Linked DNA regions of Caenorhabditis elegans. The protein of the gene in region 1 purifies or fractionates together with the protein of each later gene. This does not show direct contact. Each region holds a gene or a part of one and is shown on either strand. Other genes may lie near its edges. The genes, in order: sir-2.2 and pyc-1.

The links.
Region 2: the proteins of sir-2.2 (region 1) and pyc-1 purify together in Caenorhabditis elegans (affinity purification with western blotting, with the first as the bait; one study listed by BioGRID). This does not show direct contact.

What each region holds. Positions count from the first base shown.
Region 1 is NC_003284.9:13,326,434-13,331,789, reverse strand, and holds sir-2.2 (NAD-dependent protein deacylase sir-2.2), read right to left. Parts: upstream 3,441-5,356; coding exon 3,428-3,440; intron 2,529-3,427; coding exon 2,400-2,528; intron 2,357-2,399; coding exon 2,248-2,356; intron 2,031-2,247; coding exon 1,890-2,030; intron 1,847-1,889; coding exon 1,766-1,846; intron 1,307-1,765; coding exon 1,192-1,306; intron 1,146-1,191; coding exon 963-1,145; intron 802-962; coding exon 688-801; downstream 1-687. Other genes in the region: F46G10.2 (ILCR1 Ig-like domain-containing protein), read right to left, coding at 4,342-4,428, 4,988-5,356. UniProt on the Caenorhabditis elegans protein: NAD-dependent protein deacylase. Catalyzes the NAD-dependent hydrolysis of acyl groups from lysine residues. Plays a role in oxidative stress resistance.
Region 2 is NC_003283.11:11,817,240-11,824,555, forward strand, and holds pyc-1 (Pyruvate carboxylase 1), read right to left. Parts: upstream 5,127-7,316; 5' UTR 5,114-5,126; coding exon 5,012-5,113; intron 4,962-5,011; coding exon 4,755-4,961; intron 4,711-4,754; coding exon 4,284-4,710; intron 4,238-4,283; coding exon 3,621-4,237; intron 3,475-3,620; coding exon 3,128-3,474; intron 3,081-3,127; coding exon 2,320-3,080; intron 2,276-2,319; coding exon 1,602-2,275; intron 1,542-1,601; coding exon 1,299-1,541; intron 1,041-1,298; coding exon 891-1,040; 3' UTR 544-890; downstream 1-543. UniProt on the Caenorhabditis elegans protein: Pyruvate carboxylase catalyzes a 2-step reaction, involving the ATP-dependent carboxylation of the covalently attached biotin in the first step and the transfer of the carboxyl group to pyruvate in the second.

The DNA.
Region 1 (5,356 bases):
GTAGAGTAGAGAAATCCAGTAACCTCTTCCTGTATTGCCAAGGAAAACGCCGGCAGAGAGTGCGGGTCCGCCGAAAATGAAAGAATAATGGGAGACCAACCAACAGCTGGAAGATTATCTAGGTACAGAACAAAGTCCACAATTTTTTTGATAGCAAGGTTTTAAAAATAATTGTTTAATGAGGAAATAAAATATTTGACAAAATTGATAATAAAAATCTAACCTTACGAAGGTGTTGAAATAGTTTAAATCATGTCATCAAAGCAATATGGTGCGATGTTTAAAATGATCATCCCATTGGGAATCTTGATTTAAAAAAAAAAACTACTACTAAAGAAGAATCATAAACTTTAAAAAAGAACTAAGCAAGTTATCCTTGATGAACAAAAAGTGATTATATTCTCATAATATAGAAAAGCTGTTTGGTAAAATATTTGAGTCTATCTCCTAATTCCAGGATTTTGTTTTGCCAATTTTGTTACTTTTTTTGCAGGAGTAGATGATTTTTTTTCTGAAAATAACGCATTTTCACAATCATATTCATCAAAAATTGTTTATTCCAATTAACATGAAACAAATTGCCATTCTATTCAAACAATAAAAAAAAGTTTCAAAATACAAACGGAAAGTACCCAAAAAACTGTCGTCAACACAATATTATCAAATTCCAAAACTACACGTCTTAGTCTACATTTCTTTTAAAACGTCAGAGATTTTATAATCTAACTTCATCGTCGCCATGTGATCAGCTCTTGTAGGTCCTATATTGACTATGAAAATTGGTTTCTTCTTCATGTTAGCCTGAAAGTTTACATTTTTATTTTTGAAGGACTCTTAACAATCTAAAAAAGTTGTTTGAAATTTTTTTAAATAGTTAATTTTTGTGCTACCCACGGAAACATCAAAACGTTTTTGTTTTTAGATAACCAAAAAAGTCATCCAGTAAATCCCATTAGCCTTACATGATGGATAAACCGAAATCCAGATAACACCGCCAACGACGTGCCAAGTGATAAAATCCCATCACATTCATTCACTTTCTCGTAACAAAAATTGACTTTGTCCATGTTAACGTTCTCTCCAAAAAACGTGACATCTGTCTTCATAAGTCCCCCACAACTTGGGCACTCGGGAATTTGGAAACCCTGAAAACACTGTATTTTTCGACTTATTCCACCGTAAAACACTTACTTTCTCAGTTCCCAACGGTAGAATAATGTCACCATCTGGCGCCAGCTCTCCTGGAGCCACGTGTTCTTCTTTAAACCCAGGATTTGCGTAATCAAGTCGGTCTTGGTACGTTTGTCTGAAGTTGAAACGTTTTAATTTTATGAGATCCCTTATAAAATAAACGGTTATTTTTACGTTCACAAACCGAAATGTGAAGTGGCCTATTAGATACATTAAGAGGCGTCCATACTCTCTTAGATTGTCTGCCATTCCACACATTCAGGAAGTGGAGTGAAATCGAAAAGTCAATGAAGTTACAATGATCAAACATTATCAATTAGGAAGAATGTACGTTAATTAAAATATGTTATAAGGAAGTTCACCGATACATTTTAGAGGAAGTTTCAACATTTTAGTTAAAATGTTATCTTTTCGTTTTTTTTAAATCCAAATATGTATAACAATCCTTTTTTCTACGCTACATGTGATTGTTCAATTTTAGTAAATCATCATTTGTTTTAGCTTTTATCAAACAATTCCTCATTGAGAAATTGTTTTTTTTTTTCCATAATTGAGTTGATTCAGTCCAATGTACCTTGATTCAATGTAATCACATGTTGTACATTTTACTTGAAGAGCACTGCCATGAAGTTCCGTTACCATTTTTGAGCCCGCTCTGAATTAAAAAAAAATTTTAACTCATTTTTGACCGTCTTTACTTTAAGTGAAGCCCATCCACGTTTTGTGTGATTAACCATTGGAATCTATCGGAAGCTTCCCATTTCGATAGTGCGTAGTGATTGATGTTAGGAGCAGCTTGACCAAATCTCGGCCAGGCTAAAAAATTGCGAGACCAGTATCTGAAAATATGAAATTATTGTTTTGAAATTTTATATTTTTTGAAGGCTCAGCTAGCATAAATTATACCATGAATAAGATATATTTAAAAAAAAAAGCCCGGACTATTTTGATGATGTACTTGTAAAACATTTCTGTTGAGTAGAAAAATCGTAACGGGAAAACATTTTTTTCTTAACCAGCTTTACTTTTTTCACTTTTTTCCAAGCATAACCTCACCTTTGTCTACAACGGTTGGACCTCATGTAATCTTGAAAATAAATTGGCTTGTGTGCAATTCTTGCGTACAGCCCCACATCTTTCGAGCGGTAATCTGGGATACCTGGAACTAAAATTTTAGACGATTGAGTATCGGAACTATGAAAGATTACCAGATTCTGTAGATATTCCTGCTCCAGAGATGACAAGCAGCTTGTCCACTGTTCCAATCAAAGATATGAACTTTTTCAAGGAATTTTCACAGAGCTCGGCGGCCTCCGGTACAAACTTTTGAGCCATGCCTAAAAATATTCAAATTATTAAAAATTAGGCAGCATGATACAGAATTCAAAAAAATCTAAATCGTAATTTATAAAATGTTTCACTATAGTTCCGCTTCCGAGCTTTAAGCTATCAGTGAAAAGTGTAAAATCAAATGACCGACAGAGTGATTGATGCGTCATTTTAAAGCATTCGCGCTCTATTTGCACTGACGAGAGAGTAGAGAGTGGCTAGAGAAAGTCACAGATATTTCCTAGTTTCTCCGAGAAGGCGGCTGGCAGAAAGTGCAACACGTGAATGGGAGAAGAATAAGAGAGTAACGTTTTGAAAAATCTTTATAGGTAACACTGAATAACGCAATTTCATTGAACATTGCAGTTTTAGAATTTGCTTAGTTTTATCCTCAAATCTTCAAAAATATTTATTGCTTAATTGAAAATTATATAGATACGTTATATTAATAAATAAATAAAAAGAAAACATCTATATTTTGTATTAAAAAGTTTTATGTATGATGCATTTTCGAATTTTTAAAATTAATATTATCCGAGCATCCTATACCTAGCCTGTAATACTATACCGACGGCTTAAATTTGATTTTTTAGTTAACATTTTGGAAAACCTACAGAACGTTTTTATCAATCTCAAAGAGAAAGAATAAGGTGATTTTTCACAGACATGCGGCATGATTTTATTTGGTTCTAACTGACAAAAAAATGGTCAAAAAAATTAGACCCCTTTGACAGAATACAAAAAGATAAGAGAAATATGTTCATACATATGTTTTGATTTTTATTTCGTGTACAATATTTCAATTGAGGATTGTTATAGTTGTTTTAATGTAAACATTAATTTGAAAAAGTAAAACTCAAACACACTAACTATTAATCAGTTGGAATATTAGAAAATTTTGACTTACCATACTTCATCATTTATCGATTGTGTGATTTTCTTGAAGTTCAAAATGTTATGTGATCGAATGGGTTCACGTTTTTTGACACTAATTTGTCGCAACAAAAAAAGAATTAACAAAAAAAAAAGAGATAAGAGTCATGTCATGTCGGCTGACTTTTCGCGAAAAAAGTCATGGTATTGATAGAATAGATAAGGTTTGTAAAAATGAATGACCCGTATATTCAGTTCAATTTATGTAAAGTTGTAGTTAATTACATTATCACAACAAAAATAATTTAAAAGAAAAGCACCGTTTTCAACATGTCTGCTGCAAATCAATTTTTATAAAATAATTTTTTTTTTCAAAATTTGAGACGCCATAAAACAGTGTTGAGATGTATTGCAATTTATAATTGTTTCTTTTGAAGACTCAAAAATATTGAGGATCAGACCAGATACAACAAAGTTATAATGTATTGAAAAGCTTGTTCATAGATACCTTTTTTCATAAATAAAAAATATCTGAAACAGTGAAAGTTCAAAAGCACAAAGTAGGTGCAAATGACGTCATGTTCATTTATTATATTCAAAAACTCTGTACAATGCATGTATACATGATTTAATACGATGATAAACGATTCACATAATATGGTACCCGTGGTTACCGACAACAAATAAACAAAATTTGTACACAACCCCCACAAAACCAGAAAAATCAACAATAAAAGTAGAAGATCGAAAATCCATTAAAAAGCAAATATCCATATTAAACGCAAAAATGTACAGAGATCAAAGCAATCGTGTAGGGCTAGTTGAATCCTTATGCAAAAAAACCGTCCATAACCGTTTTGAGTAGAGATCATTGGTGACGGAGAGATGACGATGATAGTAGTTGAGAAGTATTATGGCTTTTGTACAGGCTCACATGTTCAAAATGTGCTACACAACTTCTACGGGCTGTCGAAGTAGAGGATGGGCTTCGATGTTTAGATCTCTCAAATGAGTTGGCATACCACTTGTCAGAGTCTGAAATTGTAAATGTTTATGAAACGTGATGTGCATATAACCAAAGTCTGTTTGAATGAGTGACAAACCTAGATTTTAGCAACTTCAATTGAAATTCTGCATTCTTTAAGTACTAGTTATATTCATTTGCTTTCAAATTATTTTTTTTTTGAAATCCTCTAATTGTAAGTTATATCAAAAGTATGAAAAGTATGTAAAGTTTTGGAGTAAAATTTTTTTATTCCTACAAAATTCTGTATTATTTCTTCTAGACTTACAAAACACCGAACGACTAGTATTGGACTCTACATATCTTCTTAGGCTTTCTTCAGCGGCCATGTGCAATAAGAATGTCTTTTCTGGGTTTGAACACGAGAAATTGCGGTAAAGTTATCACTTTTTGATGGGATGTTACACTTTGTTTTTACAACGAAGCGCCTGATAAAAACTAAATTTTAATCTACATTTTTTGCTAAATTTTTGGATATGAAATGAAAAAGGCACACTCGGATCGTGATTCTATTTATTAGAAAATGAAGTTTCCTGTTAATTAACCATTTACATTTTTTCTCTTACTGACCTCATTATCTCCTCCTGAATGTGAGCTATTACTTGACAATGATGAGACACCCGAGTCTGTACTATGCGTCTTTGAGTTATTTCTACTGTCAATGCTGTCACAGCTCTCATGATGAATGGGCACATTTTCTGGAATTGCCACGTCCTCGATAGGAATATCTATGACAAGTGGATCAGCGATAGTGATATCAAATGCATCTTCTAGAAGTTTCTGATCACGAGGCAATACGTATTCAACTTCTTTCGGCACACTTCGCTGTGCTTCTGGAGTGAGAGCAATGTGAGCCAATCGCGGATCGGTACACGGGAAGAAGTTGTTAATGACGTCATAGATACCACACCGTGGATGGTAGTATGCAGAATGAAAAAC
Region 2 (7,316 bases), on another chromosome or scaffold:
TTACGTTGAAAATCAACTGAAATCAGTAGTAATTTTCAGACGCAAATATCTCGAGTTCTAGATGTCCGAGGCAAAAATGGTCTCTTACGTTGAAGAAGTACATAATATCAGCTATCGAATGGCACTAAATTTGTTTTAAAATTCTAAATTCTCTGAAACCATTCCCAAGTAAAATAAATAAAACTTTAAAACATACGTTTTCTTTTCAGATATTTCAGTCTCTATAATTTGTGTTTTGTTTTTTTTAAATTAAATGGCGTAGTGAATAGTACTATTTACACTAACGTAGGTATTATGTAGAAGTCTAAAGATAAACATTTTCCCCAGCAAACACGAAATTACTGTAACTCCTGTTGATTTATGAGTCTCCATTGCAACCTATTTTTATGTTAAAAATCTTCTCAGCAATAGTGGTCAGTAAAGTGAGACGAGCTAGCTCGCAGTTCGCGTGGCGAGACCAATGCGCGTATGATATGGCGACTCTTCCCATCATTAGATTTCTACGTAATAATTGATTTTATCGAGTTGCTTTATCGAGTTGCATTGCTCTTCGGTGAGTTTCAGTGATAAAATTGAGAGAGAAGTGAACGAGTTTATATTCTACACAAAGACAATGAGCACCCGATGCAATAAATACTTTTTCTAAGAAAACAATATAAATGCAAAAGTGGAGGGAAAACGAAAAATTACTGGCAATGAAGACGTTTAGAAAATTTTGGGGAGGCAATACACAGAATATACACATTGAGATGGTTCGAATGGCAAAGAGAAGGTGGTGGCTAATCATTCTATATAGCACAACGCCAAATATAATTTCGATGTGGCGGAATTTGTGATGGTGAATGGAATTAACAAAAAAAGAGACAAAATGCGAGTTTATTGATGTCAGTTCATGGTTCAACTTCAACTACCAAGTCTCCGGCACTACATTTGGTTCCTTGTGGTGCATGGATAGCCTTGACGGTTCCAGCAATTGGAGAGTCGATGACCATCTCCATTTTCATGGCGGAAAGCACAAATAGGGGTTGCTTCTTGGTAACCTGAAAAGAAATAATTCCTATATTCATTTTTTATGCCATCATTTTTTTATGTGATTTTTGTGTAGGACAAGAAGAAAAAACGTGGGAGGCATAAGGCTATAAATTTATCTCTTTCCGTTTTTCCCTACAATTTCCGTTGTGGGGCCCACCGCTTCTGAATTCGTCCCATTTGTCTTTTTTTGTTTTTCAAAGAAATTCAGAATACATATCCCGGATGCATGATTGATTTATTACATCTTTAGATATGCGTTGTATTACCTTGTCGCCTTCCTTGATTTTCAGCTCCAAAACATCTCCTGGCATTGGTGCTCCAATATGTCCACGGACACCTGGGAGAGCTCTTGGGCGAGTTACAATTTCCTTGGAAGCTTCCTTGTCAACCACGAAGATACTTCTCATTTGTCCATTGAGATCAAAGAAGACTTCGCGTTCTCCACGCTTGTTTAGTTTTCCTTCAGCGAGCAATTGAATTGCAAGAGTTTTTCCACTCTCGATTTCAACCTGAAATAAAATTCATAAGTCGTGAAATTCAGAAATGTAGATTAATGTAGAATCACTTACATCAACTTCTTCCGCAATCTCCAATCCAGTCAAGAAGAGTCTCGTTGGCAGCTTATCAACTGGTCCATATTGTTGACGGAAAGTCTCAAACTCATCGAAAACCGTTGGGAACATCGAATATGACATCACATCTTCTTCAGACAAAGTACGTCCATGTTTCTCTTCAAGTTCGACCTTCACAGCATCTAGATCAACTGGCTTAGCATTTTCTCCTGGCCTTCCATCGACTTTTGGCTTTCCACGAAGGACTTTAGTTCTCAATGGCTCAGGGAATCCATATGGAGGTTGTCCGACATTTCCTTGCATGAAATCAACGACACTTTTTGGGAAGGATAGATCATCGGCACGGTCGACAAGAGTTTCGCGAGTCAAGTTGTTTTGCACCATAAACTGAGCCAAGTCACCGACAATCTTGGATGATGGCGTAACTTTAATTATGTCGCCAAGAACAAGATTAGCTTCACGATACATACGCTTGACTTCATCGAACTGTGGCCCAAGTCCGAGAGAGAATGCTTGGAATTGCAAGTTCGTGTACTGTCCTCCTGGAATTTCGTGCTTGTAAACATCGGCATTTCCACTTTTCATGGTGGTGGCACATTCGAATGGAGCATAGAGTTGACGAGTTGACTCCCAGTATGCAGAATATTTTGAAATGTCATCAAGAGAAAGACCTTAAATATAAATTAGACATTTTTCAAACGATATTGTAACTCACCAGTATCATGTTTAGTTCCTTGAAGACTAGCTACAATAGCTCCCATTGAAGGCTGAGAAGTCATTCCACTCATGCTATCAACTGCAGCATCGACCACATCAGCTCCAGCTTTGGCACACTCAAGCATAGCAGCAACTCCAGCTCCAGATGTATCGTGGGTATGAACGTGAATTGGAATATCTGGGAACTTGTCTCGGAGAGCGCCAATCAACAACTTGGCAGCTTCCGGTTTCAGAACTCCAGCCATATCCTTGATAGAAAGAATATGCGCTTGAGCTTTGACAAGTTGATCAGCCAAGTTCAAATAGTATTTGAGGTCGTATTTGTCACGAGACTTATCGGTAACATCTCCAGTGTATGCGATAGCAGCTTCAACAACTCCACCGGCCTTTCCAACGGCTTCCATTCCGACGAGAAGATTTGGAAGATAGTTCAGTGAATCAAATACACGGAACACATCCATTCCATTTTTCACCGCCAACTCGCAGAACTTGTAAATAACGTTATCAGGATAATTTGAATATCCCATAGCATTGGCACCTCGCAGAAGACATTGGAATGGAATATTTGGAATCAGTTTGCGAAGAGTTTGAAGACGTTCCCATGGACACTCGTGGAGGAAGCGCATGGAAACATCGAAAGTAGCTCCTCCCCAGTTTTCAAGTGAGAAGAGACCATTGAATGATTGGGCAACAAAAGGTGAAATAGCAGCCATATCATAGGTACGTACTCGTGTTGCAAGAAGAGATTGATGTGCATCTCTGAAAATGTGAAATTAATATATGTTACTTTCTTTTTGAGTTTATACCTGAATGTAGTATCAGTGATCATACATCCTGGTCTACTGCGAACTTCCTTTGCAAACTCAGTTGGTCCTCTTTGAACAAGTACATCACGAAGTCCAGTCGGCGGTTTGGCTCCAGCTGGGATGTATGGGATCGGAGGAGAAACAACTGCTGGTTTCAGGTCAGTAGCAAGAGGAGTAGTTGGACCGTTCACCTTAACTTCTCCCAAATAGTTCAACAACTTTTGAGCACGGTTTTGGCTTGGTTTGAATTGGAACAACTCTGGATGCTCATCAATGAAATACGTATCGACGGATGCATCAAGGAAGCTGGGCTGGCGAAGAACGTTGAGCAGAAATGGGATGTTTGTCTGAAAAAGTTTAAAGTTTAGTCATTGATCAGCCATCAGGCAGAATATCAGTCAGTGGCAATGGGTTTCCTTATCAGTGAGAAAATGGTGATAGCTATCAACATGATTTGGTGTACTTTGATTTCATTTTTTGATTGAATTCTCACCTTTACGCCTCGGATACGGAACTTTTTGAGGGCACGAATCATTTTTGCGGCAGCGTTCGGATGATTTCTAGCCGATGCAATTACTTTGACCATCAAAGAATCGTAGTGAGGTGAAATGACTGATCCTGCGAAGGCAGATGCTGAATCAAGACGAATTCCCATTCCCTCTCCGGATCGGAAAACTTCAATTCTTCCGGAATCTGGCTGGAATCCTTTAGCTGGATCTTCAGTTGTGACACGACATTGAATAGCTGAGCCAGTAGTTTGAATAGTTTCCTGTGAAAGCTTCAGATCATCCAGAGATTTTCCTTCGGCGATACGAATTTGAGCTTGGACAAGATCCACACCAGTGATCTCTTCAGTTACTGTATGCTCGACTTGAAGACGTGCATTCACTTCGATGAAATAGTAGTTGCCCTTCTGATCAACCAGGAATTCGACTGTACCAGCATTTTGGTATCCAACATGTCTTGCAAGTCGAAGAGCGTCTGCCAAAATTTTCTCACGAACACCTTCTGGGAGAGCTGGCGCTGGAGCAATTTCAACAACCTTTTGATGACGACGTTGCACTGAACAATCACGCTCATACAAATGAACAATATTTCCATGATGGTCTCCTGAAAAATATATTATGTAATTATAATAGTTTCCGCTGAAACTAACCAAGCAGCTGAACTTCAATATGTCTTGGTCTCTCAACAAACTTTTCAACGAAAAGACTTCCGTCTCCAAACGCAGCTTGAGCTTCCGAGTAGGATCTACGGAATGCCTCTTCAACTTCTTCCAATTTATCAACACGACGAATTCCACGACCACCTCCTCCATAAGCGGCCTTCAAAATAATTGGTGTACCGTACTGCTTTGCAAATTCGACAGCTTCATCAGCAGTTGTAATTGGTCCAGGAGTTCCTGGAACGACTTGAACACCAGCTTCAATGGCAGCTTGACGAGCAGCAACTTTGTCTCCCATTCGAGCCATAACGTCGGGGCTAGGACCAATGAACACTATTCCTGCATTTTGACAAGCAGCTGCAAAGTCAGATCGCTCTGACAGAAATCCATATCCGGGATGAATAGCATCAATGTTGTGCTATAAAGGGTACGATAATCTTGGTCAATTTTTGTCCTACAAACCTTCAGGGCAGTTTCTATAATCTGGTCAATAGTCAGATAAGCAGCAACCGGTGGAAGACCTTTTCCTACAAGATAGGCTTCGTCAGCTTTCAGACGATGCATCGAGTTTTTGTCCTGCTCGGCGTAAATCGCAACAGAAGTTTTGTTCAATTCTGTGAGGGCACGGAACACACGGATTGCAATTTCTCCACGATTGGCCACCATAACCTGAAAAAATTTCCGAATTTATCTTCAAGCACGAAAAAGAAATGAAATACCTTGTTGAATTCTCTTGGTTTGATAACTCCATTGGCATAGTTACGATAATGTGTCTGTCGGACGACATTAGCGAAGATCGGTGGGATGCGGGAGAACCGCATCGTTGTCGTTTATCTGAAACATGCATAGTTTTGAGACGGTGAACCTATTCGGTGAATACAACCAATGAAGATTATTCAATAATGATAGTGTGAACATCGAAGAGACACAGAAACATTACTTTGGTGTACCTTCTACTGTGTGAGAGCAGAAAGCTCAAGAACGAATCGAAGTGTGGTAAACTTCTTCGGAATTCGGACATTATTTGAGATTTTTAGAAGTATCCACGTTGACCACGTGATAAATTAGAACGGTGAAAAATGTGAAAGGTCACGTACGCAGAGCAATAGAGATTTTGAAAAGACCAAGAGGTCACACCACATGAGAGTGAGTGTATGTATGAAGATACATTAATTGATTTAAAAATCATTGTTCATTCTCCATAGAACCACCTAGTGATATTTGTAGAGAAGAATAACAACAGTACTGATAACATTGATAGAATGATAGGAGAAGGGAAGAAAATAAAATATTTTGTTTTTCGATTTTCTAGGTTTTTTCGGTGAAATGAGATGTGAAAGAAGAACCACGTGGCATACCCAAGACCAGACGAAGAACCTAGAGAAAATAAGGAAAATTGAAAAAAATAAAAGTAAACAAAGAAGGAAGTTATCAGAAACTACAGAAACTACAGAAGCCACAGAACGTTCAACATTCAGTTTTGGATTTTTGTAAAATTAGAAAATTAGTTTTTAGAATGGTTTATGAGCATGCCATATTAAATATCTATTCCGCACGGCCAAATATTCCAATATTTTTTGCTGTTCTATCGTTAGTTTTTTTTTTTGATATCTCGGGGATTAGTGTTAATGGTGCGTCCATAGTCTGCGGAAAACGGGGAATTCCCGCGTGCGGAAGCGTCCATAGTCTGCGGAAAAAAACAAGGAGTTTCTCGCTTTGTTATTGGTCAATTTCAAAATAGTGGGCGTGTTCAACCAATTAGAGGCTGTAAAATTTTAAGCTGAGCAATGGGAAAACAAGAAACAACAGCTGATTGGTTGGCCACGCCTACTTTTTGAATTTTGAGGAAAAAAAAAGCGAGGAACTCCGGTTTTTCCGCAGACTATGGACGCTTCCGCACGCGGGAAATTCCCGTTTTCCGCAGACTATGGACGCACTATAATAATTTTTTTTAATTTTGCGGATTTAAAGATATAAAATGTCTTAGAGTATCACAATCAAGTTAAAAATTTGAAAAAAATCTAGATTCAAAGAGAACTAGATCAACACTTTGACCATGGCTATGAATTTGCGGCGACAACAAACTGATAGCCGAGAGACGGTGTTTGTGTCATTTTGTCTTATCAGTCGACTCGGGTGGACACTAGAACACAAAAACTGAGACGCAGAGGAGGAGGATAAATGATTTAAACTTCAGAACCTTCGATTTTTCAAAATGTCAAAATGTTCAAAACTGTTTTTGGTCGTAGTGGGATAGTTAATTTTCGTAAAGGGCTGAAAATAAAAATGATTTAATTAAGTTCACTTTAAAGATCAACATAATGATATTTAATGATCAATGAAACACATTTAATAAAATTAAACTGGCCAATAAACAAGATTTGGATTCCATTTAACGAAAGAATTTCAATGATAAAATTAGAAATTCAGGGTTGGAAACTGAAAGACTATGTGAAAATTGTTTACATAAATTTTATCTGATAGCTAGATTATCGCTGAAAATCGAAAATCTCAGAATCTATGAATTTTCGATCTATCATGACATGACTTATTTCGTACTAATCAAAACATCACAGAACCAGCTTCGATAAGTTTCAAATTTTGATCGTTCTTCGCACTTTCGGCAATCACTGGCGATCACGAGGTTGGCATAAGAGACTCGTAAACGTAGAGGAAAAAAGACTTGTGAGAAAGAAACACGACTGTTGAGTTTAGAAAACGATGCACCATGAACGTACTCAGAACTGCTGTATGAAAAGAGAGGAGGGGTAAAGAAAATACGTGCACATTTTGAATAATTGATGTCTCATTGAGATTAGAGGTCAAAAGTGAAAAGATCAAAGGGTACATAGAACAAATGTTAATTTATGAAAACTTTATAGATACGATATAAAAGTAGTTGATAAAAAGTAAATTTTCATCACAATTAAGTTTGTAAAATTGTGTTCGATACTGATCTTTTTAAATTTTGTTTTATATTAAATTATTAGAACATTAAATAATTTAAATTTTCAGAAGATTCCA